Oryctolagus cuniculus: one gene and its partners. The protein of the gene in region 2 interacts with the protein of the main gene of each other region in a pairwise test. Links are inferred from orthologs where the notes say so. Each region holds a gene or a part of one and is shown on either strand. Other genes may lie near its edges.

What was found.
Region 1: the proteins of DAB1 (region 2) and LNX1 interact in binary tests that used the Homo sapiens proteins (3 or more experiments, as listed by UniProt). The link is inferred for Oryctolagus cuniculus from reciprocal best matches to the Homo sapiens genes DAB1 and LNX1.
Region 3: the proteins of DAB1 (region 2) and MBNL1 interact in binary tests that used the Homo sapiens proteins (3 or more experiments, as listed by UniProt). The link is inferred for Oryctolagus cuniculus from reciprocal best matches to the Homo sapiens genes DAB1 and MBNL1.
Region 4: the proteins of DAB1 (region 2) and PIN1 interact in binary tests that used the Homo sapiens proteins (3 or more experiments, as listed by UniProt). The two-hybrid records come from large-scale screens. The link is inferred for Oryctolagus cuniculus from reciprocal best matches to the Homo sapiens genes DAB1 and PIN1.
Region 5: the proteins of DAB1 (region 2) and CLASRP interact in a two-hybrid assay, tested with the Homo sapiens proteins (2 studies listed by BioGRID and IntAct). The link is inferred for Oryctolagus cuniculus from reciprocal best matches to the Homo sapiens genes DAB1 and CLASRP.

What each region holds. Positions count from the first base shown.
Region 1 is NC_091439.1:110,395,166-110,399,414, reverse strand, and holds part of LNX1 (E3 ubiquitin-protein ligase LNX), read right to left. Parts: intron 1,453-4,249; coding exon 1,211-1,452; intron 732-1,210; coding exon 576-731; intron 1-575.
Region 2 is NC_091438.1:116,065,241-116,069,489, reverse strand, and holds part of DAB1 (disabled homolog 1), read right to left. Parts: intron 4,073-4,249; coding exon 3,524-4,072; intron 1-3,523. UniProt on the Homo sapiens protein: Signaling adapter of the reelin-mediated signaling pathway, which regulates the migration and differentiation of postmitotic neurons during brain development.
Region 3 is NC_091435.1:128,811,976-128,816,846, forward strand, and holds the start of MBNL1 (muscleblind-like protein 1), read right to left. Parts: upstream 3,070-4,871; 5' UTR 2,966-3,069; intron 651-2,965; exon of another isoform or gene 484-650; intron 1-483. UniProt on the Homo sapiens protein: Mediates pre-mRNA alternative splicing regulation. Acts either as activator or repressor of splicing on specific pre-mRNA targets. Inhibits cardiac troponin-T (TNNT2) pre-mRNA exon inclusion but induces insulin receptor (IR) pre-mRNA exon inclusion in muscle.
Region 4 is NC_091447.1:67,377,157-67,381,987, reverse strand, and holds the start of PIN1 (peptidyl-prolyl cis-trans isomerase NIMA-interacting 1), read left to right. Parts: upstream 1-1,468; 5' UTR 1,469-1,565; coding exon 1,566-1,623; intron 1,624-2,713; coding exon 2,714-2,929; intron 2,930-4,831. UniProt on the Homo sapiens protein: Peptidyl-prolyl cis/trans isomerase (PPIase) that binds to and isomerizes specific phosphorylated Ser/Thr-Pro (pSer/Thr-Pro) motifs.
Region 5 is NC_091449.1:11,677,122-11,681,986, forward strand, and holds the start of CLASRP (CLK4-associating serine/arginine rich protein), read right to left. Parts: upstream 3,365-4,865; 5' UTR 3,236-3,364; intron 2,446-3,235; 5' UTR 2,381-2,445; coding exon 2,282-2,380; intron 1-2,281. Other genes in the region: transcription factor RelB, read right to left, coding at 3,839-4,224. UniProt on the Homo sapiens protein: Probably functions as an alternative splicing regulator. May regulate the mRNA splicing of genes such as CLK1. May act by regulating members of the CLK kinase family.

The DNA of each region.
Region 1 (4,249 bases), on a different chromosome or scaffold from region 2:
CTGGGCATGGCAGAGCCTGCTGGTCTGCAGCACCAGCCCAGAGCCCGGCTGTCTGGGCCTCCGTGGGATCCCCTGCAGCCCCGTGTGGCAGCCAGCAGCCTGGAACAGCACGGCTTCTGCACCCCAGCTGGAACAGAAGTGCGCAGAGGGGTGTTGGGGATGGCGGCTCGGGCTGGAACACGGAGGCCGGGAAGCCTCTGGGCCCTGCCTCTGCGTTTGCCATCTGGAAAGATCTGACACCGCAGGCCTGGCTCTGATAAATTCAGAGGTTCCTCCGCCCCGACCCCCACCCCCGAGAGCGGGCTGCGGCAGGTGTGTGGTATAGGCTGGTGGCCGGGCCACTGGGCTCTGGAGCCCAAGGACTTGAGTTAAACCCTGGTTCTGCATTTCCTAGCTGGGCGACTGGGGGCTGGTGACCCAACCCCCTGGATCTCAGCTCACTCATTGGCCCAATGGGAACAACAAACCTGAAGGGAAGGGAGGGCCACGGGGGCAGGGGTGTGGCTGTCACCCCCAGTGATGGACGTCCCCCTGGAAACACGCCCCTTATCCAGCCTCGCCCAAGGTTCTTTTACCTTCCGGGCCTGCGATGTCTTCAGAACTGTCCCCGCCCTGGCCAGCGGGGCTGGCCACCGCGCCCCCACCACTCTTGGTCCTTCGGAGAGCACTCAGCGCGCGGTTGATTTTCTTAAAGGACCGGCTCCTGATGGTGCACCGCTCAAAGGGCCGTGCTGTGGGAGAGAGAGGAGAGTCGCTGTCCGTGGACAGAATGTCTTTCACGGGTGCACCCGGTCGGCCCCAGCGACTACCGCTGTGTGGCCACATTCTAGCGTCTGCTCACCTACAGGATCTGCTCAACTTTCTACAATGACGTGTTTGCAGCTTGTTGAGAAATCTGTCTTTTTCTTTCTTTCCGGGGCAGAACTGGCTAGAAGAGCATGTGCCCCGGGCAGTGCTGTGTGTGTGTGTGTGGGGGGGGGTGGGTTGAGGACCCCGCAGGCCCCACACCAAGGCACAGACACAGCCTTGGTGATCTGGGATCCTTGGGGCTTTGGTCTGCTTTGCAGACTGGACATTGGGTAAGCTGCCAAAACTACCCCAACAGTTTCCCGTTAAAGCAACATTCCTAGAACTGTCCATGGTGAGTTAGCCACAGAGGGCAATCCCAAGGCACAGAGCCCACCCCCGGACCACTGCCTGTTGGACTCACCCCTGACTGGGTTGCTGTGGCCGGTGTCGGCCACGCTGTTGGCTGCTGGCCCGTCCTCCACCGTGCACACGTAGGCAGGGTTGTCCAGGCCGGGCTCGTCCGCAGCACAGGGGCTGGAGGTGGCTGTGGCGGCCTCTGGGGACAGCGTCGTGGCTGTGAGGCTCGCGCAGCCGTCGGGACAGCCATGCTGGGAGCGCCGCTTCCTTTCCTTGGTCAGGCCGTAGTGGGAGACACCCTTGCAGCTGTGACGAGACCGGGGGACACGGTTGGGACAGGCTCCGGTGGGGCTGCCGTGGTCCAGTCAGAGCCTCTTACAAACCCCAGGGAGGGTGGGTTCCTTCCCCGCCCTCAACCTCCCTCTCCCCACAGAAGTGCTCCGCCGACATGCTGCACTATGACTTGAGAACATGATTGTATTTATTTATTTATTTACTTAAGATTGATTATTCGACAGGGAGAGACACAGACGAGGAGAGACACAGTGAGTGCTCCCACCTGCTGGTTCACTCCCCAGATGCCCTCCGCGGCCAAGGCCAGGGCAGGAGAGATCTGGGAGTCAGGAACTGGACCCAGCTCTCCCGCACAGGTGGCAGAAACCCAGCGACGGCAGCCATCGCCGCTGCCTCCCAGGCTGTGCAGCAGCAGGAAGCCGGAGCCAGGAGCCAGGAGCCAGGGACAGGCATCGAACCCAAGCCCCGTGATGTGCAATGCAGGCATCTGAACAGGAGCTGTAATTAACGGGCCGAATGCCCAGCCCGGAGAAGACAGCTTCTCAAGGCTGCTTATTGTCGTCTCCAAAGCCATCCCAGCAGCGGGTGCTGCACTGGTCACGATGACCACAAGCCCGGGCCTGGAGCCCGGCGATCCGCGGACGCCTGGGCGTGGCGACGCTTCTGCAGGGTTTGCTCTGACCCCGCCCGCTCCAGGTCGCACTCTCTGCTCCTCTGGGTTCTGCTCCCGCAGCACAGAACACAGAATCGGGCTCTTCCCAGGTTCCGTGTGTGCGGCCGTCCAGGACAACAGCATCGCTGTCACCAATAGCCCCAGAAGTTCACTTGGCATCTCCGGTCCCTGGGGACGGGCTGGGGGGCCTCCCTTCTCCAGCCTTGGGCTGCTCTGAACTGGCCCCCGTGCTCCTCCAAGAGCCCAGGCCCAGGGGCTGGGGCTCCCATGAGCTGAAAAATGTCACTCATTGCAGCTGGGAGCTGAAAACAGCGTTTACGATTTTTAACAAAGCCTATTCGTTCCCGCCCATTCATCATCCCTGGAATCAAAAAAACTGGCCGCTCCTAAGCCCCGCCCTTTGTGAGGAAGGCGAGCCACTGGGGTAATAGATGGACTAGGGAGAGACCGGCCGGGGCTCAGGTCGGGGCTGACGCAGTGTGGGTGTCGTGCAGGAGCCTACGGCCACCGCCACGGGGCTCATCACAGCCAGCGGCCCGGTTTCCGTAGGGAGATGGGGATGATCTCACTGTGTTGTGGTGAGGGTTCCACGAGCAGCCACGCCGGCTCCCACGGCTGTGGTGAGGGTGGAAATCACACCAACGAGCCCCTTTAACAACCGGCCACTTGCTGGGGTGGGCCTTCGGCCTAGCAGCTAAGCCACCTGCGCCCCATGTTGGGGTACTTGGTTGCAGTGCTGGCTCCAACCCTGCTCCAGCTCCCTGCTAATGTGCACCCTGGGAGGCGGCAGTGACGGCCCAAACAGTTGGGTCGCCGTGGCCCATGCGGGAGATGTGGGCTGAGCTCCCCGCTCCCTTGGATGGATGCGCTAGTTGTAAATTATTCTTATCAGTTCATTACACAAACCCCGGTGTGACTGAGCTTTATTAAGTACTTCTTTGAGAGCCTGTCTGGTGTGGTGGCTCACGTGTTGGACAGAACCAAACCTCAGCCCACAGCTGATCTGCGTGGGATTCACACTGCCTGTGGACCCAGGGAACCAGCAGGATGGGAGGTCCTGGTGTCTGGACCAGAGTCCTGGCCCTGCTGGGAGTTCTGGGGGAATTTGATTGTCCTGGCCACACTTCCTGTCCTGCACACTTCTTGCTGTGAGGGTTGATAGACATTGAATCTAGTTCCAAGCTAGACGCGGGGGTTCGCCCCTCATCCGCGTTTTGCCCTATGTGGTTTCAGTTCCCCCAAGAGAAACAGTTCATGAGCTTTAAGCCACCTGCTGTTCTGCGCAGCAAGAGGAGATGACGAGGTTGTGTGTGGTCATGCTCCCCCACCTGCGTCCAGCGTCTCCCTGCTGCCCGTTAGTCATCCGCAGCCGTCTCAGTCACCAGGCCGACTGCCACAGGATCACAACTCGCGTTCAAGTCGCTCTCATTTCACTTAGCAATGGCCTCAATGTGCAAGAGTAGTGATGCTGGCAATTTAATTACAGTCTAGGATTTTAATGGTTCTATTTGATTTGTTATTGCTAATATTTACTGTGCCTAATGTATACATCATAGATTTGTATAGAGAAACAAACAAACAACACAACATAGCGCAGGCAGAGTTTGGTGCGTCCAGCCGCAGTCTTGGGAACGCAGTCTCACCCTTGGGTAAGGGGGAGCACTGTGCAAAGTAAGTTCTCAACAGACTGCAGCTGCTCCCACAATTCATCCGTTCTAAGACGCTCGTTTGCCTACACTTGAACATGTCTGAGATCAAGATGCACGTGTGGCCTGCGCCGCGGCTCACTAGGCTAATCCTCCGCCTTGTGGCGCCGGCACACCGAGTTCTAGTCCCGGTCGGGGTGCCGGATTCTGTCCCAGTTGCCCCTCTTCCAGGCCAGCTCTCTGCTGTGGCCCGGGAGTGCAGTGGAGGATGGCCCAAGTGCTTGGGCCCTGCACCCCACGGGAGACCAGGATAAGTACCTGGCTCCTGCCATCGGATCAGTGTGGCGCGCCGGCCGCAGCGCGCCGGCCACGGTGGCCATTGGAGGGTGAACCAACGGCAAAGGAAGACCTTTCTCTCTGTCTCTCTCTCTCTCACTGTCCACTCTGCCTGTCAAAAAAAAAAAAAAAAAGATGCACGTGTGATGGACAG
Region 2 (4,249 bases):
ACTTATATTCAAGTCAACCCCTGCACTCGTCTTCCCATGCCAACCTTAATCAGCTGAACGTCTGAGTTTCCCCTAGGTACGTATTTATCTTGGGCTCCCACACACTCGATGGTAAGGAAGGAGCAGATCCACATTGATGGGTAAGGCAGTAGTTCTCAAGGGATGGTCCCTGGGCCAAAGCATGTGAGCATCATCTGGGAATTTGTTAGAGATGAAAATTCTTGGTCCCTATGACTCATTTACCGAATCAGAAGCTCTGTGTTTTAAGAACCCACCATGCATACTGAAGCTGAGAACTATGGGGCATTGGCTTGCATTCTTTGACGAGTTAGCCATGTTAGAAGTTTTATGGACAGTATCTTTAATTCCCATAAACCTTCTCTGAGGTAGAGGTTATCTCAGTTCTACAGATCAGGAAAGGCAACGTTGCTACTTTGCTCATGGCAACTGGTAAAACCACATTTTGAATTCTGGCACATAGTAGGTACTGAATAAACAAGGACTCAGTACTCTGGGGAGATGGCTGTGGCTGATGGCAACTTGAGTCTATAAGGATCTGCATTTGCTGTGCCGACCTTCCTGCATGTCCCTTCTCTCATTTGTTCCAGAGCCTTATAACAGATCTGTCATTTCAAAGCACTCTTCTTCCAATAATTTCTAATTTGGCACAGAAAATACCAGTCACTGGCTCAGTCCCAAGTGAGGAGGAGGCATGGCTTGACTTAGTAGCTGCATTTCAAAAGGCATGGAGAGAGCCGTCCCCATTATCACATTCCTGAACTTGGAAAATCTGGCACTTTATGAAACAGTGAATGACTGCAAAACCTAGTGTGTACCTTTTGCCCTGGTGAACCTGTATGAAGGGTGGGAATGCTACTTCCTCATGTTTTATTTATAAGGTGTCATTGACTCAGACACTACTAGGGACTTCCTGTTCATTATTCTCCCTAATATAAACAACTTCTAGGTGTCACTGAACTTGTTTTTTTTCCAGATGAAAAAAAAAAAAAAAACACCACAGTTTAGATTAGTGAGCTGATTTCTCAGGGTTAACACAGCAATGAAACAGCAGCCTTGGGTTTCAAGACTGTCTGACACTGGTACAATTGGGTGTTGGGCTCTTGCTATTTGAGGCTCACTTATGTTCTAACCACTCAAAATATTCTTTAGAGGGTATTGATGAGTACGAGACTATAAAAACTAGTTTTACTAATTTTCTTTAAAATAATACACTTGGCATTTTTTAATTTGAAAGGAACTCTGTTTTATTTTGGTTATATCTAACAAACTAGTTACAGTGGGTTTAAAGCTAACTAAAAACACCCTGATGGACAGCAGAGGTTTAATAAACATTAGCTTAGTGGGATTCTAAATAGTGTTTGAAGTGGTTTATTGTTTACTAGCGGATGGGAACCCAGGCTGAGCTGCCAGTTCTAATAAGTGTACTGCTCATACGTAAGCAAGTAAATCAACGGGGAGCATAAACAGGAGTTTATTGACACATGTGTCTTAACCCTTAGAAGGTTTTACAGAATATTTGTGTACTCTAAAACAGCACTTTTCACTTTGGGGTGATTTCATCCTCAGGGGACATCCGGCCATATCTGGAACCGTTTTTGATTGCCACAACCGGAGGGAAGGTATGCTACCTGCATTTAGTATGTAGAGTTCAGGGTTGCTGCTAAACACCTAGAATGTACCAGAAAGTTGCCCATAGCACATAGTTTTCTGGCCCAAAATGTCAATAATGTCAAGGATGCAAAATTTTGCTCTGCAGTAAGAGTAGCTGAATGGCCTTACTTTGTTCATTTAGTTCTCTACAACCTTTCCCAAATGCCTCCAACAGGCTATGCACTCTGTGAGAATTATGGGAAGTGTAGGATTGTTGAAGACATATTCCCTGTCCTCAAAGAACTTAAATTTCTTTCACTTGTAGCAGACACACAAGCCCACTGACAGAGCAAGCTTTGTTTTTAAAAGGTGCTTGCTTACTTATACAGGGCTTTCTTTAGCACTTCATTTTGTATTCATTATTCTTCATTGAAGCTCGTTGAGTTTGAGTACATGGATCACTGTGTAGATCATACAGCCTGAGTGCACTCTGAAGGCATTCATTTTCAGAATAGCATGTGAACCTGGCTGGAATGACATAACCTAATTGCATTAACATTAGATTGTTTTTTGACAATTCACTGTGTTGGCCATGCAGTGATCCATATCACCTGTGACAGTAATGAAAATGCCAAATGCATTGTACCATGAGCTTTTTCTTTTCCCTTTTCTATAGTCAAGGTGCAGACTGGGTCACAGATCACCTTCCCCAAACTGTGTTGAATAAGCATACTTGTGCTCAAGCGTGTCTGGATCCTGACTTGGCTGCATGGTTACTGCTTTCTAGATGTTTGCAGCAGAAAAGTGAATTGGGGTAGAATCACTGACTGCAAGAACTAGAAGGAGGCACACTGCTCGTGCAAATCAATTCACTTATTTTACCAATGTCACACACGGAGTCTCAGGAAAGTCACATGACGGCCCAAGGACACAGTTTATAATGGAGGAGCCAACAGTAGAACCCTGGGCCTGGACTCTGCACAAAATCACTGAATGTTGGTAACACTGATGCTGGTAGTACTTCAAATGTCATTAGCCTGATAATGTTTTGCTACATGTACTACTGAATCCTTTTAGTACTCCATAGCCTTGGACACATGAGAAACCGCCACCTACAGAAATCAAATGACCCACCCCACAGTACAAATCTGCTCAGGAATAAAGGTAGTCCCCAGGTTCTTAGTCCAGCACTTTCTGTGCAGTCACTTTTTTCTATTTGACTACTAGAAGCTCTGAGACAAAATCTGGACTCACCCCTAATAATGGTACAAGCTCTAAGGCTGCTGCAACTCTGCACTAAGTTTCCTCCTGATGTTAATTTTCTAATCTAATTTTTAAATTTGACCCCTAAAAATATAGATTTTCACATTCATTATTCATTTTTATATCAGTTAAAACCTGTATATCATAAGCTTGAATACACATAAATGAATGAACGAATGAGAAAACCAACAAAATCCTAAGAGACAGAATGACACAGTGGAAACATACTAGGCTTATAGTCAATTGAAGCAGTCTGGTATCTCTGTCTTTGAAGCTTACTTTCATTATCTGTCAAACAGGTTTAACAGAACCTGTCATAAGTATTGATAAAAGTCTTAAAACAGACACAGGGCATGTAGAGAATGTGTATCCCAGTATGCCTTCGGTGGCACCCAAACTGGTAACTATTATTACTAGTAGCAATCTCAACAGACAAGATGGACAAAACTTAGACGTGTCTTCCGATGGTCAGAAACCTACAGCACCACTCACTGCTCCTGTGTCTTTTTGTACTTGTATACTTTGATCTCTTTTTTTACCTTTCCCTTTCTCCACCTAAAGACACTAACAAACCAAGATGAATTCAGATACAAGCAGCTGTCACTTTATCAACGGAGTAAATCCTGCGTCTTAAGTGAGGGGCACTCACGTGAGTTGGTCGATGGCGTGGTAGAAGTCACGGGGGTCAAATTCAACTGGGAGATGTCAAAGTCATCACAGTCGTCCGTATCCTGCGCCACCCCGACTTTGTTGAAGTAACTGGAGAAGGCCTCTGAGGTACAGGTGAGGGAGGGCTGGTCGGGTTTGCGGGAGGGCACGGGCGGAGGCTGAACCATCTGGAAATCCTTGAACATTTCCTTCCCCATTTTCTGCCTGGGCTTGTCGGTCTGTGGACTTGACCTGGTGGAGTCACTCGTGCCTGGGACGGTGGCGAGGGGGGTGAGGGGACCTTGGAACATGGCAGCTGGCAAAGGCATAACAGTTTGTGTGGGCATGAAGGCGGCTGGCGGAAACTGCCCGGCCACAGCGGGCCAGGGCTGCTGGGTGGCAGGAAAGAGACCCGGCTGGCCCCATGCGATGGGCTGAGCCCCCGGCATCACCTGAGCGACTGGTGGCTGAGCACCCATGGCGAGCTGCTGCTGCACGAGGGGCTGTTGGCCCCAGAACGAGGGGAGGACGGCGCCCATTGCCACATAACCTGGAAGGGTGGGAAGGGAGAGAAAGCAGAATGCATGCATTCAATGATTGACAGAGACATACTGAGCAGCTACCAAGTACCAGGTATCTAGGGACTGGGATGCCAAGAAGAGGAAGAGAGAAGTTCATGAAGGCTAACCTAGAGAAGTCCAGAGGGGACCCAGCTCCTAGGAGACGA
Region 3 (4,871 bases), on a different chromosome or scaffold from region 2:
AAATGAAATACATAATCTATCTTGAGAGCACATGCACGGTAATCACGCTTATTTTTGCAAATACAAGAGTTTTCTCAAGTATCAGCACGTATTTTCATTAATATAATAAATACATATATGCCACATATGACACTTATATGAAAGTTGGCTTCATTAAAAATAAGTAGAAAGTCAATAGATGTAGGAGGATGCAAATACTTTTAAAGGTCTGGAAGACCCTTATTGGCTAGATATAGAAGGTTTTCTTTTTGAATTCAAAACATGTCAGTCTCTTAGTTTGCACCCAAACCATAATTTTTCTTTCAGGCAACAAATATTCTTTATTCTTGCAAATGGAAAAACAATCAAAAGAAGAATAGACAAAACAATCAAGAAAAAGAAAATATTTCAATGTTCTTTTGGAAATTCAGTAATTTGTGTCACAAATAGCATTGTTTTCAAGTGAAATTAAATAGTGTAGTTGTCCTTCGTTAAGGTGAAATAGAGCACTCTGTAACCAAGTCTTCCTTTCTACAGATGGACACTTTGAGAAGGTCGTCTAAGAGGAGGCAGAGATACCCACTTAACTGAGATTATTATCAAGATCAGGTCTGGCGACTCCCAACAGGTCACCCACATGTCACCCACAAAGCCAACCATTCTTTATTAAGGCAAAGACCAAATTTTATGATTCTGTAGCCATCCACATTTAGCACTTCTTAGAGTCAGTAAAAATGTCTGTCTTACATAAGTGTTACATGAATATAATCTATTGAAACAGTAAAATATATCTATACTTCAAAAGTCAAAATTCATCTATCTTGCTATAAATTATTTATAATATTAAATGAGGATACTTCAAAAAGCTTCATGGTAAAATTAAATTAAAAGACATTTATTTTGTTGGAAAAATTTGAAATCCACTCATAGTTTTTTTCATAATGTGAATTTTCCATTATCCTTTTTATGACCGTTCATATCTAATTTCACTTTAAAATTCTGGGCTTTTGTAACCAGCTCTGAATGGTTTGTTAAAATGACAGTATGTGAAATAAAAAATACATGTAATGTATCCTGCCATTCTCATCATGACACAAACATTCTCCTTCAGCAATCTGCATGTCTCATAAAAACCCCCTCGGATAAGCACTGTTTTTTCTTTTGTAAATAGAATTTTCTCAAAGAAAGAAGAAATTTTAAACTTATTTCTCATAATCTGTCACTGAATCGGTCATTCAGACTTTAGTAATTCTCAATAATAACAAAAACAACAGCAATGAAATCAACAAGGCTATCTTGCAAGAAAATGGCATTTTTTCCTACTTCTTTGGCTTTCGTTTGCAGTTCTGAATTACAATGATGACCAAGTTAAACTAATTTCTATGGGCTATGTTTTCTAGTGGTTTTTATCTACTTAGTGTAATATTACATTATTCATGTCATACCCATAGAAATTAAAAATGCTTCTATCTTTTTAAAAAAGAGAGAAGAGGGGTATCAAAAAATGGTATTGTTGCAAATAGCAAAACCAAATTCTGATTAAAGTAGTTGTGTTTAATTAGCGTGAGATCCATAAAGATGCACAATTTTAATGAATCTCTTACAACTATCAATTTAAAATATTTGATTGGCTTAAGGATGTTAAATTGAGTCAAGGATTCATTTTCCAAATTTATAACAGTAATAGTATCTTTCTCTTCTCCCGATAGTTATGACAGCATGTATTGATATAGAGAATTGCAGAAAATAGTTTAAGAAGACAAGCGGTCACTAAATACTACAATTAAATCAGCATGATATTATTGTGTCCTAAAGTTACAAAACAAATCCGTTAACTGTTGAAATAAGACTTTCTTTTGGGGAAGTCATGAGACTTGTCTGAAATATAAGCCAAAATTAAATAAGCAATCAAATATATTACTTGGGATATCTGTTTTACCAAATCTCATACAAATGTGTAATGTGTGGCAAATTCTCAATATGGTTAATTTACAAAAAGTACTCTGAGTTATGAAAGTTATAAAAGTACTTACAGGCAAACTACCTGAACGTCATTACGTATAAAACCAGACTAGTTCATTTAAAATGCACTTTTAAAGCTGTACTAAATTAAACATATGGGATGATTTTACCAAAGTCTAAGCAAGCAATGGATTTTAAAAGGAAGATTTAAAAATTGCTATCTTATGATCTTATGAATATAATCCTATTGAATACGGTTAATATGTGTACCATTATTCTAGATTGGCTGAAACAACAAATTTTTTTCTATTGCTTCTAGATTATTTTAGAATTTCATTAAAGGATAAATTTCCACTTAGTTTAATTTTTTTATTATCAATTTAAATGGTCTTTGCTTTAGTTCTACATTTTAAGCATTGAAAATAAAAATTAATCTTATTAAGCGAATGATGAGTTTCTAAAATTAGCTTTACTTATTTAGACTTTTAAGTCATGCTAGCTATACTATAAATTATATTTTTCCAAATTTAAGTATATTGTGCTGATATGAAAAATAGTATAGAAATATCACATTTAAAATAACACAATATAGTTTCACCTAGGTAAAAGCAAATACAAAAATTTTCTTTTTCTTGGAAAGTGTCAAACAATATTATGCAAAAAGAAAACTATTTGAAAAAGAAGAAGGTTCTCAAATTTATTATTAATCCAGAAGTTTCTGTAGCACAAAGTTGCATGTAAAATTGCATATGAAAGGGGGTGTTTGATTTTACAGGTAAAATAATTGGGAGATCAATAAGAACTTTTTTCATCTTTTTAAAAGCTTTCTTTATAGCTTTTAAAAAGGTTGTTTGTGAGGTTGAAACTTTAAATGTATTGAATTTTTCATTTCAAATATTGACTACTCTCGAGAGAAATGTTAGATTTCTCTAGTCTACTTTGTAGTGTGGCCAACATTTAAATTGTTGGTATATAGATAACAATCCAAATAATAAATGAAAAAATATCAAACAGCATTGCTTACCTCTATGCCTTATTTATAGTTGCTTGTTAAGCTGCTTCATTGGTTCAGTTAAACTGCCAGCACCTCAAAGTGCTCTGTTCTCTGCTAGACTCTCTTTTCTGGCCACATTATTTTTTTTCCCTCCCTGTAAAAGGATAGTGCACCAAAAGAGGAAGTTGTGAAACACCAGAGTCATTATGCTTTATAAATTCTACAGAGAATGGAAAACTATTCAAAAGCTTACACTTGGAATCATGATAGCAAGCTATATTTTGTGCTTGTATACAAATATAATTAATGTATACACATATTTATATGTACAGGAAAATTTTAGAAAAGATATCAAAACTTATACTTGAAATAAATTATGCTCATTTACATAAGAAAATATCTCCTGTGTTACTAAATAAATGAGAGTCATAGAAAAACAAAAAATCCTGCTCTATGTTGAAGAAAACTGTGGCGCTTATATGCGAGGAATAAACTTGCTTTTATAGTAATGTCTAATTAATATAAAGTCTTTGGAATATGACCTAAATTCTAATATGACTGTAGGCAACTTAGAGCGAAAAAAAGGTTTAGTAAATGAGTGTTTTCCTGGAATTTGGGCCGTGGTTTTCTACCTACAAGTCTTATGCTTCCTTTCTCATGAATAGTTGTCTGTTACTTATAGATAAAGCCTTGCAAAACTGAAACTGTTAACCTATCCCCGAGCAATAGTCTCTCACAACTGCAGCCCCAAGAGTAAAACACAGGTGCAGAGCCTACCAGGCTGAGCACTGAACTGGTCAAATATCTTCCAGGTTGGAGCACTAAATGAAAATATTTAAAGGACAATAGGGGCAACAGTAGAAAGAGGACATAAACAGTGGAACAAAGCAAATATGGCTAGCAACTTCAGATAGATACAAAGGTACTTTAAAAAGTTTTGGGAAAATGGAAATAAAAGATATGTTTATTATGAAATATTTAAAAATTTTAAAATCCACACATAGTTTTTTCATAATACTCTTTGCCCACAAAGTTGTTGAATATCCCTAATATACATTTCTCCCAGGTTCAAGTTGCCAGATTACAGAAGCCACTGGATAGTCTTAAGTTTTTGTGTCGCAGTTGCTCCACCCTTCTTGCTCATTGGGGAAACGGAAGGGGGTGGACTGCAAGAAAAATAGTAATTATGCAATCCTCCGCACATTGCAAGAACCACTTTCTGAGTTTTAGAAATTATCATGCTCTCAGGGTATCACGGTTTTGCTTTTTATTTAACCGGATATCCAAAGGTACAATAAAGAGTACTTAGAGGATAATTAGAATGCTATAAGTTTCTATTTCACCTAAACTCATATTTAATGTGAATTTATAGGAAATAAAAACAAAAACAAATTGTAAGAAAGCTGCTTCCTTGGAGTCAGCATTCCAAACCATGTTAAGATGCCACTTGGGGCTCCTGCATCTCATATCAGAGTACCTGGATTCAAATCCCCGCTCTAGTACTGGCTATAGCTTCCTGCTAATGCATGCCATGGGAGGCAGCTGGTAATAGCTCAAATCCATGGGTCCCTGCCACTCATGTAGGAGACCTAGACTGAATGCCTGGCTTCTGGCTCCTGGTTTTGGCCTGGCCCAGCCATAGTTGTGGACATTTTAAGAGTGAACTAGCAGATGGAAGGTCTTTCTCTCTGTGTTTGTTTCTCTCTCTGACTGTCACATAAACAAATAAAGAAATAAAGCAAGCTGTTTCTACCAAAAATACACACATACACACACACAAAACATGAAAAGCACAAGTAACAGTAACCACAACCTTGAGAGTCATCAAATTTGATTTTGATTTTTTAGTGAAATACTTAAAGAAAAATCCTTGAAGAAAAAGTTATTGATGCAACTAAGACTGCTATTTGTTTGGATAAATTTTAAATACTATTAT
Region 4 (4,831 bases), on a different chromosome or scaffold from region 2:
TTGGGGTTGGGGAATTCTGAGCTGTGGGGAGCTGGCCCATGCCTTGCAGGATGTGCAGCAGTCTCCACAGCCTCTACCCACTAAATTGTCCCTTCCTCCCTTTGTGACAGCCATAACTGTCAAGACATCACCAGATGTCCCCTGGAGAACAAAACTGCTCCTAAGTGAAAACTTCCGTTCTGCTGTGTCAAATGCTATCCCATTTGCCAGCTGGGTGAAATCTATTTTTGCAACTCCAATTATCTTTTACAATTATTATGCTAAGATGTGCTTAAAAATGAGAACATTAAAAAGTTCTTCATTTTTTGTCATTTGACTTGTATCACCACTGGTAGTCAACATTTTAATGAATCTATAAATTTGCTGTGATATAAGCCTATAATACTTAACATATCTTAGCTGTAGGCTAGGAAGTGTTTTGAGTGCTTTATAGGGACCACTCCTTAACCATCGCATCAGACAGAAGAAGTGGTAGTATTGCTTCCTCCGACTTTGCAATCGGAGGACTTGAAGCACGGGGGTTCAGTAACTTGCTCGCACCCCCTCACCCCCAAGCAAGGTGGCTCCGCAGCGCCCTTGGCCTCCTACCTCGTCCTGCCTCTGTGTTTTCCCTGAGCCACGTCTCTGAGCCTCGATGTTGTTAAGGGGCACCCATGTGGGTGCAGGGACTATAATCCGCTGTCTTCCCAGGTGCATTAGCTGGAAGCCAGATCAGAAGTGGAGGAGCTAGGTCTGGAACTGGCACACCGATAAAGCGCTCCCTTGTTCACCTGCAGCCCTTGGCACTCCCGGCCACCCCCGCAGCAGCTCATGCTTCTCCCACCTGCGCCTCCTCTCGCGCTCTCCTCGCCAGGGAGGAGGAAGCAGCCAGAGTGAGAGGAAATAAGTAGATTCCAAAGGGCCCGCGGGGGGAAAATGGTTTAGCCCAGCGAGGCCGGGTTGGCTTTGGACATCTGGAAGAAGCAGGTGGGAAGAGGGAGGCTGGAGAAGCCAAACTTAGGCTTCGGGCACTGAGCTGCTCGTCACCAAGGCAACTGCGTTGTTATGGCAACAGCACGGGTACCACCGCCTCCTCCTCCCACAAGTAACCTGCACAGCGGCCAGACGCTTCCGCATGAGGGTCGTGCGGCCTTCCGGGAACGGCTCGGGCAGGCGGGAACTGCTGCCCCGGCAGCCAATCAATAAGCTCTATCCTGTCGGGTCGGGTTCCGCCCGCCAAGAGCGCCAAGAAGGGGGTTGGGACTTTTTTCGCTCTCGCCAAAGGGCGTTGAGAAGGGCGGTCTCGAGTCTCTAATCCACCACTTAGGAGCCAAGGAGAGGAGAGGGGCGGGGCCTGAGTGAGCCCGACTAGGGGCCGGGTACCAGTGTAACGTGGGGGGATCCGCCCACTCTCGCTTCTGCCCAGTAGCAAGACGGAGAGCTCATCCTGACGGTTGGAATGTCCAATGAGCGTCGCTGCCAGGCCCCGGTGCGGAGAACGCCGAGCCAATGGGCAGCGTCGGTGGGCGGGCGCGGGTGACAGGCGGCGCGGCGGAGGCGGAGCGGGCGCTGCGGCAGGAGGGAAGATGGCGGACGAGGAGAAGCTGCCGCCCGGCTGGGAGAAGCGCATGAGCCGCAGCTCAGGTGCCGCGGGGATCGGGGCCGGGGCAGGGCCGCGCGGGCCCACGGAAGCAGGGCGCGAGCTCTGCCCTCGAGCGCGGAGGAGCCCCCCGCTTCCGTCCCGTGAGGTCTGGGCTCCTCCGCGTCGCCCTCGGAGTAACGGCGCCGGCCCGCCCCCGTGGAGGGCTGCAAGGCTCAGGAGCCGGGAGGAAACTGAGGCAGGGGGCGGGGCGGGGGAGGGGCCGGGGAGGCCGCGGCGCTCCCTGAGGCGGCGGCACTGAGTCTGCCAGCCCGGCTGTCTGCAGCCAGCACGGGCCTGCTGCACCTGTCGCTCTGCGGGGAGCTGGGCCCGGGGCACTCCCTGGGGAGGGGGATACCCCTCACCGAGCAGAGAGGCGTGGCACACACACCTGCCGGCCACACCTCTTCCTGAGTCTGCTTGGAGCCCAATCGAAAGCTTGGCCCCGTTAGGTGTGCACCCCGCATCGTGTTTTTAGTTCTCTGAGAATTGCCGCACGTCTGGGAGATGGGTCGTTGGTGCGCCCATTTTACAAGTGGGGACGCTGAGGCCAGGAAGTGGAAGGATGTCTTCCAAGATCGTGCATTTCAGGGGGGTTGGAGCCGGCTTGGAACCCAGTCTGCCTGCTCCAGGGCCCCTGGCGCTTTTCCTGTGTCACCGCGAGCGCCCGAGGAGCTGGCCCGGCTTCTCTGAGTAGGTCTAGGGTCCCTCTGCCGCCCCTGGAGCCCGCAGTGGCCACAGTCGAAGTAATAGTCCTTGTGTGTCGACCCAGGGGAGGTTTGATGGTGTTGATTCGCTCACCCCCATTTTGCAGATGAGTAAAACTGAGGCTCGGGGAGATAAGGCCCACAGACAGCATCTTAGCCTCAGTGGGTGGCTCAGCTGGATTTGTTGCTGGAACCCCCCGATCCCCTGTGTTATTTTTTCTTCCCTGAAGTTAGCAGTCATTGGGGTTCTCTTGTTGTCGTCTTTGCTGGTTTGGAGCCTGTCTTCCCCCACTGAGCATGTGAGCCCCCTCAGTACAGGGGCTGTGCGCTGCCGTGTCCGCCCGTGGCGCAGGGTGGACACGCGATGGGTTTGCTGCCCTCCCCGCAGGCCGGGTGTACTACTTCAACCACATCACGAACGCCAGCCAGTGGGAGCGCCCCAGCGGCAACAGCAGCAGCGGTGGAGGCAAAATCGGGCAGGGGGAGCCGGCGCGTGTCCGCTGCTCGCACCTGCTCGTCAAACACAGCCAGTCCCGGCGGCCCTCGTCCTGGCGGCAGGAGAAGATCACCCGGACCAAGGAGGAGGCCCTGGAGCTGATCAACGGTGAGCAGGGGCTCTCGGGCCGGGATCCTCTCCACTTCTGCTCTCCCTGCTCTGAGGCTCGCCGACTCCAGGAGGAAGAGGGCGTTTGGAGGTAGAGCTGCAGGAGTTCCTGCCAGAGGGAACTTGGGAAGAGGCTCATCCTGGGCGGGGCCCTTTAAATCCTGGGGGCTGGGGGCGGAACTTGGGGAGGCAGCCGGACGCAGGTCTGGGTTCAGCAGAGCAGGGAGGCCAAAAGGACATGTGGGGTGATCCGGGTAAGGTGGCAGGAGGCTGAGCGGCCTTCCCAGCTCTGGGTCGGTGCTGCGGTGGGGCTGCACTCACCAGCTTGGGTCTTAGGAAGGGATAGACCATGAGCAGGTGGGCCCGGGCCCGCTCTTCCGTAGGTGGAGATTTGGGGATGTCAGCAGGCTGCCAGCGCGGGGGGGGGGGGGGGGGGCCTGTGGAGGCTGTGGGAGAGATTGCAGGCAGAGGCAGTGTGGCTCGAGCCTGGGGTGGGCCGAGGGTGGAAATGAGGGGGAGGCGGATTCTAGAGAGATTCAGGAGACAGACTTGGGAGGATGCAGGGGTGTGTGAAGTGGGCGAGGCTCTGCTTGGGAGGCCCACCACACCCTGGGCTCCTCAGGACTGGGGTCTTGTGCCAGCTGTGTGTCCTGGAGCAGCTGTGTTCTCTGAGCCTCGGTGGCTGCCTCTGTAGGCTGGGCGCGTGTCCCCATGAAGAGCCGGGAGCCGTGGGCTCGGTGTCTGGGGCTTGACCCCAGTCCTTGAGGCATATGCATGGGGGAGCTGAGGTCGAGGGAAGGCCTGGGCTCATGGGCTGCTTCTCTGGAAAGATCTCTGGGCCTGGACACGGGCGGTCTGGTGGGCTCAGCATAGACCCTCTGGTGACCTTGGACTGCGACCTTCTCTGACTTCAGTGTCGTCCTGCTCGAGGTGGGACTGGTGCAGGACCCTCAGAGGTTGCTAGGAGGCCGTGGTGAGCCGGCCTTGGCTGTGGCGCACTCAGTAACCAGACATCCTGTGTGTTTTCCACAAGCCTTGGGTGCCTGGGCCTTGTCCTGTGTGTGCAGGTGACTGCTCCCCCGGTCTGGCTGTGTTCCAGAGGATCAGGAGTCGATGGTTTGGCCAGCGCCCTCCCCAGCTGGCAGCCTGGGCCCACACGAGTCTCCTCAGTGCCCACTGGGACCCGGTGCTGCCCCGGGAGACGCGTCTGCAGCGAGAATCAGCGCCTCCACCTCTCTGCAGAGGCTCCTCTTCCCAGCATCAGCTCCTCTGCAGCTGCTGGGCTGCCGCCAGGGGCTGTCAGGAATCCGAGGCCCGCCCAGTGTCACTGTTGGTGTCCTTGCCTGAAGCGGCCAGCCAGGGGGAGCCATCCCTGCCTGTTTCCCGTCCCTCCATGCCTGTGTGCCCAGGGTCCCAGGGAGGCCCCGACCTGAGGATCCCCCACCCAGGGAGGGCCAGTGGTCCTAGGCTGGGCCTCTGGGCCCCTTGCTGGATCTTAGGTCTTCTGGGGACATAATCCTGACTTCTTTCCCTGCCCAGGCCCCTTCCCCTTTGGTGCCTGGGTGCCATTGGACTAGAAGCAGCTTATTGAGTTGTAGGGCAGGGCAGGGAGTTTGTCCCTAAACCTTTTTGGGATTAGGCACCCCTCTGTCTGTTCACTCATGTTCCCTTGGATGGTTACAGTGATCTGTTAGCTTGGGCTCCATAATAAAATACCACAGACTGAGGCCGGCGCCGCTGCTCACTAGGCTAATCCTCCGCCTAGCGGCGCCGGCACACCGGGTTCTAGTCCCGGTCGGGGCGCCGGATTCTGTCCCGGTTGCCCCTCTTCCAGGCCAGCCCTCTGCTGTGGCCAGGGAGTGCAGTGGAGGATGGCCCAGGTGCTTGAGCCCTGCACCCCAT
Region 5 (4,865 bases), on a different chromosome or scaffold from region 2:
GCCTGAGTGCAGACGTCATGGGAAAACACGGTAAACCTTCCTGACAACTGCCAGAGACGGCTTTTCCCCCTGCTGGACGGCTGGGAGCCTGAGCGGCCTCTTAGACACGGAGACAAGCCGGGGAGGAGGAGCCCGAGCAGAGCGCGCTCCCTCTGCTTTCCTGTGAGCAGGACACACACGTCCAGCCTGGTTAAGCCACTGACGTCCTAGGTCTGTGACGGCCAAACCCGACCCATCACTTCGCGTGCCACGGAACCCGGCTCAGGAGAGCGGCCACGCACATCACGCAGGAGCTGGCATCCGAACCTGAGCCAGAGCGCCCTGGCCCGCACCGGGAGGCCACACCGTCGCATCGCGCCTTCAGCCGCCGCCACCTCAGACAAGGGTTCTGCCTCCTTGAACTTCCACGTCCGCAGGAGACTACCAGCTCAACAGCTGGCTAAGACGCCAGCTCTGCCCTCTGAGCCCCAGCTCACCACCCCCCAGCAGGTGCACCTCCTGGTCTGGAGTGAGGACTGGACGCAGCACAGGCACAGGCTGAGTGAGGCACGGCGGCTGGCGCCCCGCCCCCAGGCCTGCTGCACAGGGAGGGCACGGCAGAGGCCGGCGGCAGGGGCAGCTCTCCCTCCACGTGCCCACGAGCTCCTGGCCCGTACCGGGCCTTTGTCTAGGACCCAGCCTGACCCAGGCCCTGGGCTCGTGGTCACGCTCTAGTTATTCCGACACCACCGGAGAGCAGCTCGCTCCTGCCCGGTGGCTCCTTGCCGGGTGCCAGAGGCAACTGGAGGGCTCTGCGGGGTGGGGTAACAGCAGCCCCCCTGCCCACGGGTGACTGGGGATTAAACAACCCACACAGCTGGCCCAGCACTGTGCCGTACTGGGCTAAGCCTCGCCCTGGGGCACTGGCATCCCATATGGGCACTAGTTCGAATCCCAGCTGTTCCTCTTCCAACCCACCTCTCTGCTGTAGCCTGGGAAAGCAGCGGAGATGGCTCAAGTGCTTGGGCCCCTGCACCCACGTGGGAGACCCGGAAGAAGCTCCTGGCTTTGGATTGGTACAGCCCAGCCACTGCAGCCATCTGGGGAGTGAACCAGCAGATGGAAGACCTCTCTCTCTCTCTCTCTCTCTCTCTCTCTCCCTCCCTCCATCTGTAACTCTGCCTCTCAAATAAAAAAAAAAAAAAAAAAAAAAAAGACCCGACACATCTAAAGACCTCTCTGGAGCCCGAGAAAACCAACCGACTAACTGCTGGTCTTACTGTTGTCTATTGCTTCAGACTGTTTCCTGGGCTGGGCTCTGGCATGCAAATGCAAGCTCTCTCAGGGCTGACTGGGTGTGTGTGGACCTGGATGTAGAAGCCGTGTACACACGCGGACACAGACACACGCACGCACGCATGCACACGCATGCGCACACACACACGCACACACGCAGGGTATGAAAGCTCACGATTGCGAGGGCGGCACAAGCGTGGGGACAAGACCTCCCTGCCTGAGATCTGAGAGGAGCAGGAGGCAGCGGAAGTGGGGACACGTCACGGGAGGGCCCCGCGCTGGCGAGCACTGCGGTCCAGAGGACCGGCAAGGAGGCCCGGATGGCCCGGGCAAAGTAAAGAGGCAGAGCAGGGCGCGCGGCAGAAGGCAGACCATGCGGGACCCTGCGCCCGAGGTGAAGAGCTGAGTCCTCCAAGGGTGGGAGGGAGCCAGGGAAGAGTCCGGGGCAGGGGCACGGGGGCGGCCGGCTCCTGGGAGGCGGGGCCCTGGCACGGTGGCGAGCCGGGCGCTCTGTACAAACCACCCAAGGAGCCCCGGAGCCGCAAACACGCGTGTTTCACGGCGGATCCCGAGGACTGGTAGGACCTAAACAGGCGAGGCGATCCACCGGGGGTCAGAGGTGGAAAACAGGCCGGGGCCGCGGCCACAGCACCTGCGCCCCTCAGGCCGGGCCGGAGCTGGGTCTGTTCACTAACAGCAATCGGAGAACCCAACGGGAAGGGGACGTGGTCAGATGTCACTTCCTCTATGCCGACGCCACTCCTGCTGTGTGCCAGGCCCAGCCTCAGAAGTGCCTCAGCTCTTGGGCGCCGGGAAGACGGCCGCTGGGTGCCCACGGGCGGCGCTGCAAGGACTCCCTGTGCCTGCTCAGGCCCGCGCGCGGAGGCCGCACCGCGCACCACGGCGGCCAGAGCCGAGCCCACAGGGCTCCCAAGCCCCGCCTCCACCCGGGCGTCGGGCCTGCCTGCAGGACCCCGCGCCGGGAGGGGCGCGCACTGGAACTCACGATCTTCTCGTAGTACTCCCGCCGCCGCTCCGCCCTCTTCTTGTAGTCCACCATCATGCCGCGGAGCTTCCGCTCATGCTTGCGCGCCTCGTGCCACATCGCGCTGCGGCCGAGCCCCCGGGGCCCCAACCTGGTGGATGAGGGGACCCGGAGTGTCCGCCGGTCTGAAAAAACCATGCAACACGCTGGTGACCCTCAACGCCTCATCGCCCAGATGCGGGTGGGGGGGGAGTGAGGCTGGAGAAGCCGGTGCCAGGGGCTCCCGGGACCCCCAGACAACCCTGAGCCAGGAGCTGGGGCTCTCCGAGCAACCCGTGGGTGACCGTGCGGCGCGCAACCCCGGAAAGGGACAGAGTCCCAGGAGCAGGTGCAGGTGCAGGGGTCAAAGGTCTGCGATCGGAGGCGGCGAGTGTGCAGACTCCCAGGGGCTGGGGGGCAGGCTCCCCTCGGGCCACCCGCGATGCGGGCAGGAAGGGACGGAGAAACGCGAAAGATACAACGTATCGCGGAGGCGGAGGGAGGGGTCGCGCACGGAAGACGATGGCAGCTGCGGGGGACGGGGGACGCGGGGGCGCGCGGAGGAGAGCGGAGGGGGCTGAGGTCAGCGGGAGCGCCGGTCCGTGCGGACGGGCAGAGCCCGCGGCAGGCGCAGGTGGGCTGACGGCGGGGGCGCGCCGGCTGACCCGATCGTGCCCTCGCGCTGGGGCCGGCCCTCTGACCGGAGGGCGGCGCCTGTGACCGGCGGCGGGGCCGGCACGGCGCGCTGTGGCCCGCGGCGGGGGCAGGGGCGCGGCCTGCGGCCTGTCAGGCCGAGGGCGGCGAGGGGCGGGCGACCGCGGCGGCCCGGGCTCCGGAGAGGCCCAGGGCAGCACGGGGACGGCCTCGGGCCAGGGCGAAGCTGGGTTCACGCCCGATCAAAGAGCAGGACTCCGCAGCCCCCACGTCTGCACTCACCGGCTGGTCGCCGCCACCCACCGCTGCGCTCGCGCGCGCGGCCCGCACCGGAAGCGGAAGTGTGGGCCGCGCCGCGGGGGGAGGGGAGGAGCGCCGCGGAGCGCGTTTCCGCCGCCGCGGGGGCGTGGCCTTCGGGGGCGGGGCGTGGCCTTCGGGGGCGGGGCCCGGGAAAGGGGCGGGCCCGGGAGGGCGGGACGCAGGAGAGTCGGAAGCCTCAGCTGGGCTCCCCGGCGAAGACGCGAGACCCCCAAGGCTCAAAAACTATCTTTATTGGAAGACTGGACAAACAGCCGACCCCCCGTCTTCAGGTCTGGGGGAGGCCGGGGATCTGCCTCCCGATATGTACAGTGCGTTCCGAATCCGCCTGGGGGGAGGCCCCGCAGGTCCGGCCCGGGGCGGCCGGGCGGGACGGGACCGGGCGCGGGAGCGAGGCCCCGCTCCCCTCCGGGCCCGTTTCCTTCTCTGTGAAATGGACCCAGAGGGAAGCCCGCGCTTCGGGGCGCCTCGCCGGCGCGGAAGATGTCCGATGCAGGACGAGCAGGTCGAGGACTGACCGCGGGGGCCCCCAGGGAATGGGGGTTCGCCCGGCCCCGCCGCGGGGGGCTACGTGGCTTCAGGCCCCGGGGACAGGAGGCCGCCGCCGAAGGCCGCCTCGCGGTACTGGTTGGGGAACATGTTGCTGCCCACGAGGCTGGCGGTGCCGCCGTCTCCGGGGCCCGGGCCCGGGTACGAGTCCAGGGTCAGCGGCTCGGGACCAGGTGGCTCCCCCATGGCGGCCCCCGGGCCCCCGCTGCCCGCGACCGCGCTGGCGAGGGGCGCCGCCGGCGGCAGGAGGTCCAGCATGGTGAAGAGCGAGGGGGCCGTGGCGTCGTAGGCGAAGCCGTCGTCCAGGAGGTCGGGCCCGCCCGGCGGCTCCAGGCCAGGCAGGGACACGGTGCTGGGGAAGAAGTCTGTGTCGGGCAGCAAGGCCGATGGCGGGAGGAACGAGCCTGTGGGGACGGACCGGAGAGAAGGGCTGGCGGGGGCGAGCTCCGGCCACGGGGAGGCCCGCCCTCGCTGGCCAGGCACACGGAGGCACCGCGCAGGGAGACCAGTGGCAGAACCAGGCCTCTGCACGGCCGGGGGCGTTCCCCAAGCACAAGGAAGGAGCCCACGCTTGATGCCCCCCGAGATACAGAGACGACCCCCAAAGGGGAGCCGACCCAGGCCAGAACTCCTACGGCGAGTGTCACTATGAGGGGGCAAGTGTCACTATGCGGGGCTCTCCCAGTTTTTCAGCCCATGGGACTTGTTTCCCACCTCCCTTGCAGTTTGTGGTCCTTGAGCTAAGTTCTAACTGGAATGTAAGTGTGATGACGGGAGCTGCGGCAGCCACCTAGCATCACACGATGGAAACTGAATTGGAGTGGAGGAGCCGGGTGTGAGGAGCACACAGCCACCAGACCTGGGCTGTGTGAGGGAGGAGACGAGCACGTCTGTCTTGTTGAAGCCCTGTTATCTGGGGTTTTGCTGTGAATTCCGTCCAGCGTGGTCGGAACACAACGCAGGAGACAGTGCTGACGTCCGGCGAGTCCCAGCATGCCCTGGGCCCTAACTGCGCCCACACCGTGATAAACCGGTGTACGACGTG